Linked DNA regions of Arabidopsis thaliana. The protein of the gene in region 1 interacts with the protein of each later gene in a pairwise test. Each region holds a gene or a part of one and is shown in the gene's direction. Other genes may lie near its edges.

What was found.
Region 2: the proteins of AT2G14860 (region 1) and AT5G66480 interact in a two-hybrid assay, tested with the Arabidopsis thaliana proteins (one large-scale study listed by BioGRID).

What each region holds. Positions count from the first base shown.
Region 1 is NC_003071.7:6,387,565-6,391,319, reverse strand, and holds AT2G14860 (Peroxisomal membrane 22 kDa (Mpv17/PMP22) family protein), read left to right. Parts: upstream 1-1,651; 5' UTR 1,652-1,756; coding exon 1,757-2,071; intron 2,072-2,462; coding exon 2,463-2,691; intron 2,692-3,145; coding exon 3,146-3,270; intron 3,271-3,410; coding exon 3,411-3,500; 3' UTR 3,501-3,739; downstream 3,740-3,755. Other genes in the region: AT2G14870 (RNA-binding (RRM/RBD/RNP motifs) family protein), read right to left, coding at 1-148.
Region 2 is NC_003076.8:26,545,114-26,548,868, reverse strand, and holds the start of AT5G66480 (bacteriophage N4 adsorption B protein), read left to right. Parts: upstream 1-1,868; 5' UTR 1,869-2,049; intron 2,050-2,388; 5' UTR 2,389-2,392; coding exon 2,393-3,134; intron 3,135-3,456; coding exon 3,457-3,755. Other genes in the region: AT5G66500 (Tetratricopeptide repeat (TPR)-like superfamily protein), read left to right, coding at 1-793; AT5G66490 (uncharacterized protein), read left to right, coding at 1,117-1,446.

The sequences.
Region 1 (3,755 bases):
GAACCTGACGAATCGTACTGTACCTTCCGAAAAGATCGTACGTATCTTCGCTTGTTATGCTAAAGGGAAGGTTACAAATGTAGAGTAGGCGAGTCACCTCCGGTGGGAGCCTGGGGTTTTGTTTATCCTTTCCCGTGCGAGGAGGCATTGTGGTACCTTCTCTTCTTCCTTTAGCCGGAGAGAAAAAAAACTTCTCATGGAAAAAAGAAAATTTTAGTGTGATTTCGATAGACGCACGTGAGAATTTTTTTATAGGGAAAAAAAGGAAAAAGATATTAAACCGTCATTAATTGATCATAGGCAAAGGAGAAATTATTGACGGTGTTGTGTAAATCATTAAACCCAACTACCCAAAGGAACCTACCGAACCTATAATTTGTAACTAGTTTGATGGCACTGCTAATTGAGGAATGGACATTTTAACCAAACCGAACCGAACCAAACAGAACCGACCCAAACCAAATCCAATCTTAGACTCAAACTATTCAGTTATGTTTCTTCTCACTCAACTGAAATGGTTCGGTTTGGTTTGTTTTAAACCAAACCGAACCAATAACCTTATATGTTTATTTAATTAATTAATTAGTAATATTGTATATTAGTACATATGTAATTATTTGTAGTTTAATTTTTTTTTTGGTTTATTTGAAGGGTGAATTAGGTGAAAAACCATTCTAAATAAAGTTATTAAATATCTAACACTATAATATGCATAATTCATTGAATAGCACATGTGAGGTGTAAAAATACAACACACTCCTTCCTACTCGTAAGTCCGTTGTCTTCTATGCTCGTGAGGATAATTCAATATCTTATTGTTGTCTTCACTACCGAACGATTCTCCACCAATTCACAATCTAAGAAATTGCACATTAAATGATGAAAAGATGGGAAAAAAAAAAATTGGTGAAGAATCGTTCGGTAGTGAAGGCAACAATAAGATAAAATCGTTTGGGTCCTTCGATCTCTCTGAAGCAGATCTACAATCAGTATTAATACTAAGGCTAGGGTTTGGTTAAGAAGAAGAAATAGTGGCCATAACAAAATAAATATGAAGGAATCATGAGATATATAGAAAAAAGAAGGAGATGAGAGACTATAGAAAACACAGAAGATACATGAAAAGTATGTTTGATGTTTACATAAAGGGTACAATAGTCCAAATTACAGAATATACAAAGAATATTACATACATTTTGTTTTTGGTTAGTTACCTAATTAAAGTTTTTTTAATGTTATGTACAAATTTCCCTTATTTGAATTATTCAACTTAAATTTTGCAACTTGAACTTGTTGCTTAACTTAACTATGATCAAATTCAACGTTCAAACAATAATGAACGAAATAGTTTTGTTTCGTTATATTGATTCGTCTTTCAGAACCGAATTAAAATCAAACGAACTAAAAACAAACCAAACCGAACATAGATTGACCCAAACCCAAACCAAACCATACTAACTTCAACTACTTTCGGTTGAGTTTGGTTAGAATTTTACAAAACCCAAAAAACCGAACGGAACCAAACTCAAACCGAATCCGAAGTTAAACCTAAATGCCCACCCCAACTAATTCCATAAAGTGGTTGAGTTTTTTGGCCATTTATACCGGATATTTTGGGTAACTCGGTATATGTACGGTTTAGCTAAACCGACTGAAACTACTTAAATTGGAAAAATCTATCAATTTTTTGCAGTCATCATCAAAGCTTTCTGATACCTGAACAACAACAACAACCCCTAAAATCTCGGAAGCCATAATGAGCAGAGCATTGTTCAGGAACGTAGCCGTCGACACCGCTCGGCTCATACGGCGGAACGCGGCGGCGTCAACAGACCAATATGGTAAGACCGGAGTTGCTCAATCGAGACCTTATTTCCGGTCACGTCAGCTTCTCGAAAGAGCAAAAGAAACAGGAGTCTCACCTTCTCCTTCTTTGGGTTTCTCTTCTTCTTCATCTCCGTCGAGGATTGGGTTCGTTGGATGGTATCTTGGTATGGTTAAATCACACCCAGTTGTGACCAAAAGTGTCACTTCCTCTCTTATTTACATTGCCGCCGACTTGTCTTCTCAGGTACTAACTTAGCAATTGGCTTTTACTGGAAAAAGGAGTTTCCTTTTCCAATTATGGTAGCTAAAAATTACGTCTTTTTGTGAAATTTGTACTCTTTAGCTATGAGATTCACAAATATAAAATGGCTTAAGTTTTGTTTGGGAGATGTTTCTAGGTCTTTGATACTAATATCAAACAGTAGGAGAAGTAAAGTTTGGTTTTTTATTGGAGGAATGAGACTTCTTGAAATGGTGATTTAATTAGCTCTGTGCAATGTGAATTTTGAGGAGTTCTATTAGCTACGGTTACGTTTCCTTGTAGTGTGTTGGTTTTTTGGAGCTTTCTACAGTGTGAGTACTTGCTCTTAAGAGCTGACGTTGGTTGGTTCATTTTGTTTTTGATCTTTGTATAGACGATTGCGAAAACTTCTTCTGAGTCTTATGACTTGGTGAGAACAGCAAGGATGGGAGGATATGGTTTATTTGTCTTGGGTCCAACACTTCACTACTGGTTCAATTTCATGTCAAGACTCTTTCCTAAACAAGATTTGATCACAACGTTTAAGAAAATGGCTATGGGACAGACGATCTACGGGCCTATTATGACTGTTATTTTCTTCTCATTGAATGCATCCCTACAAGGTAAAGCTCCTTGTATATATCTAAGAACAGGATTGTGTTAGGATAGGAAGAAACAGACTAACCCGTTTAACATATCTTTTCGTTCTTCTATTGTCTCAATTCAGTTGAAAATTCTTCACAAAATTGTGATATCGTCCAACTCTGAAGTTTATCTATTGTGAACTGTTGCTTGCCATTACAGTTTTACTCAACTCTTAATCAGTTTTGCTCGTGGCTAGTATGTGTCAATGGTGAGAATGATAAGTGGTGATTGATTGGTTATTTAGATAAGAAGAAACCCGCAATCTCGAATTAACAAAACTGAGAGAATGTAGTTTCTGCTCTTAGTTTTACTCTGAATTACATAGGTTTTATAACAAGTCGCCTCTCTGCTTCTTGAATTCATTTCTTGATGTCAGATTTGTTTGATCTTGGACATGTTCTAAGCTATTCTGCTTTTCCGATATTTGTTCAGGGGAACGCGGTTCAGTTATACTTGCCAGATTGAAAAGGGACTTACTCCCCGCGCTCTTTAACGGTGTCATGTATTGGCCTCTATGTGATTTTATCACATTCAGATTCTTCCCTGTTCATTTACAGGTAATCCTTTTGACTCGCCATTCTTGTGTTCAAGACACAAAACAAAAAAGACAATCCTTTTACGTTCTCCATTACTTTTTGTGTTCTTGCTGCTTATCTCAGGATGCACTCACTCTGCTCTTGCTTTTATTTCCATGCAGCCTCTTGTAAGCAACTCATTTTCGTATGTATGGACTATCTACATGACTTACATGGCAAACCGTGAAAAACCAGTCGCAATTTCAACCTGAAACACTCACATATCTTCTACATCGACTCGGGCAATGCCTCCCTTAGTGCTCAGTTATCGCCACATCAAACTGCAATGAGCATTCTTCAAAATTATTCTGTACTGTCTGTAGAATTAGGTTGTTACAATGTAAGAGCTTGGAAGAACTTCTCATGTCAGACATGTATATCACGAAGTAATGAAGTTTTGTTTCCTCTTATTTGTCTAAGTTATGTTCTGCTTCACTGAAATGTAAGAGGAAAGAGTCTATGCAACT
Region 2 (3,755 bases), on another chromosome or scaffold:
AGCGTTTCTGCTTATGAGTAGGCAGAGACCCAATGTGAGAGTGCTCAGTAGCTCTCTTGCTGGCTGCTCTGATAACTCTGATCTGTGGATTGGTAAACAGATACACTGTGTCGCTTTACGTAATGGTTTCGTTTCAGATTCTAAGCTATGCAATGGCTTAATGGATATGTATGGAAAATGCGGTCAGATTGTGCAAGCGCGTACTATTTTCAGAGCTATTCCATCTAAAAGTGTGGTTTCTTGGACGAGTATGATAGATGCGTATGCGGTTAATGGGGATGGGGTTAAAGCTCTTGAAATCTTCAGGGAAATGTGTGAAGAAGGAAGCGGAGTTTTACCGAATTCAGTGACATTTCTTGTTGTTATATCGGCTTGTGCACACGCAGGACTAGTTAAAGAAGGTAAGGAATGTTTTGGTATGATGAAGGAGAAGTATCGGTTGGTTCCTGGAACAGAGCATTACGTATGCTTCATCGATATCTTAAGCAAGGCTGGTGAGACAGAAGAGATATGGAGATTAGTCGAGAGAATGATGGAGAACGATAATCAAAGCATTCCTTGTGCTATATGGGTAGCGGTACTCAGTGCTTGTAGTCTTAATATGGATCTTACGCGAGGCGAATATGTAGCAAGGAGGCTTATGGAAGAGACGGGTCCAGAGAACGCGAGCATTTATGTGTTGGTTTCGAATTTCTATGCAGCGATGGGGAAGTGGGATGTCGTTGAAGAATTGAGAGGAAAACTGAAGAATAAAGGTTTGGTTAAAACAGCAGGACACAGCTTATTCATATGAATTGCTTTGTTTTTTCAGCATTACACTACACTTGAGCTACTGTTTTTGTGTCAAGAAACAGAGCAAGTCCACTAAAGTCTAAAGCATTGTTGTGGAACTGTCTCGTTGTCCTAATTAAGTCAAACACCAAAGAAGACATAGTCAAAAATAAAGTAGCATTGACCCACGAATAGTAGTAGGTGAAAGGGCAATGTCACATAAGGTTTAAGTTAAAGGAGTCGTTGGGATAAGGAGAAGAGAAGTCAAAAGATGTGTCCTTTTCAAAATCTATCCTTTCTTAAAAACATATCACCAGAGAGAATTGATCAAAACCACAAGAAATAATGATTAGAGCGCTGAGCACGAGGAAGGTTCGAGGCAGCTACAAGAAGCTCGGCGACGAAGAAGAAGCAGGCGCAGGGCTTTTAGAAGTGAAACCGGAGAGCGTTCCTACAAATCCCCATGGTCAATCCCCGAAGGTGAATAAACCGGTGGAGAAAACCAGGGGTTCGGCTCACCCTCTATTTAGTTTCTTCGAAATGAGTCTAAAGAGGAAGAAGAAGAAGAAGAGCACGACGACTGCAAAACCAGAATTCGCTAGGTACTTGGAGTATGTCAAGGAAGGAGGTGTTTGGGATAACACTTCAAATGGACCTGCCATATATTACAGATAGATCGGAGAAAGAGATTTCACAGAGGTTGTTTATATTTATTTTCGATTTGTGATATACCTTTCTATTTGAATAAGAAGGATGAATACATACATACATCAAAGTAGAAAGCTCGTCCATAAGCCATGATTCTGCTTCTTTGTGGACAAATCCATGTAATTTAAGTTTACAGTTTGATAGTAAGAAAAATTCTCGGTTTATTACTTGTTATCAGTAATCAGACTGGGTTTACAAATTTACGAATAAACACAGTGGGGCCCCTGATGACTACAAAAGCCTACCCGAAACACCAGGAGATGCCACGTCACTAAACATACAAAACCCCATCAAAACGCAGCCGTTCCGGTGATTCCCCAAAACCCAGCGTGATACGCGGTCGTTGCGAATGAAAGCCTTGGTGAAGAGGTTTAAATTAAGAGTTTGTTGCGACTAAAGCCTTGGAGAAGAGGTTTCTCTTTTTTCTCTCCTCCTCAGTATATATCTAATCTCTGTTTGCTCTTTTTTCGCACCATGTCATATCAATCTACCATCAATCGATCGTCTCTTCTTCCTCCGTCTGCGTTGATCTTTTCGTTTCGTCTTCTCCGATTGATGCTCTGTCGCGAGGTAACTATTTCTATCGAGTGATTTTGCTAGCTGCTGACTGTTCGATTTGATGATTAAGGTCTTGGTTCCGTGATAATCTCTGTTAAATTTAGTTTAGGCTACTTGATGTTGAATGATTAGTTTGATAATCTCGCACTCTATGGTTTGCTCCTTCCCGAAATTGAACTCTCAGATTGTTAGCTTGTTTGTATAGGTTATTAATTGCTTGACATTGATTTGGATTTTTGTTTATCCGTTATCGACTCTCTCGATGTTCATTACTTTATTAGTTGAACAACGCTCTCTCGCTGTTGTGTATCCCTATTGGTGGATTTCTAATTGAAATCTTCAATGATGCAGAGTCATGCCTACATTTTCTGCTGCCGCTTTGGGTAGATCACTAAATTCAGGGACGTCCTTATCTAGTAAATTTCCAAGCACACTGCAGTCAAAGCCGTCTATTTTGAATGATGAAAGTAAGCAACCTAAAGAAAAGACATTCACTCGTCCTCAGATGTCACCTTCTCTATATGCCACTACTAAAGAAATCCCTCATCCCAATTCGCCTTCTTCCTACCCTCCATCTCCCTATATCATCAATCACAAAGCTCGTGGGCCTGTTCTTTTCAATAGGGACTCTGAGGTGGATGGGCCTTCTCACCCGATAACCTCTGGTGAGGAAAAGATTAGTGGTAATGTAGATGTGGAGGCTACTGCCTCCTTGAGCAAGTCCACATCCCTATCATTTCCTATCACCGAGGCTATTGCGGTGGATCACACCAATGGTGTTCACACCCAAGGCATCCATGAACGTCCTGTTTGGGATTGCAGTCCCCCTCTTGGGACATTTTTGAACGAGAAGTCGGGAAGAGATATCAGCAATGGTGGGATTGGAAGTAATAATGCTACCAGTAATTTAGAATGGCAAAGTTACTTATTGGAGCCGGTAAGAATAAAAGCAGACAAGGAGCTTGAGCCTGAAAATTTCTATAACCCAGGTGAATTAGTAAGCTTCACAAGTAACACAGAGGTAGAAGATTTCGAGAGAGCTGAAAGCTCACACAGTCTTGCTACACATGTTGGAGAGTTTTATGATGCTTGCGATGGTACTGTTTCTTCCTACTAACTTTTTTAACCACGAGATAGCTAGAAAATTCTTATGATGTCTGACATTTCTAGCATCATCACTTTTTGCCAGTTCTTGGAGCCTCTTCTCCTTTAGTTTTAAGTGTTATATGCATATATCAGTATGTGATTTTGGTTGTGAAGTGGCCTTTTAGGCTTGGGATTCCTGTGTTTATAGTCATCTTGAATTCGTGATAGTTATGAATCAGATTTCCAAAGACATAGAAAATCTGCATGCATGATTCACTGGTATATCTAAGAAACTGGTTTTAATTTATTCAGTTACTGTTTCTTGGCTTCCAGAACTATCAACTGACAGTGGAATGCAGAGTTCAGCTAACAACATTGAATCTGAGGTAAGGGAGATGAGATTGGGTTTACTAATGGAAATCGAAAGGAGGAGGCAGGCAGAGGCGACTCTAGAGCAAATGCAAGTTCATTGGCGGAGGCTCCGTGACCAGTTGGCCGATGTGGGTATGTTCCTTCCTCTTGATCCCACCAGAAGCCAATACAGCATGAACCTAGCTGATGAGCTACGTTGTCAACTTGAGGTCACCAGGTTTGTCTCCGACACACTAGGCAGTGACTTGGCCAAGACAGAG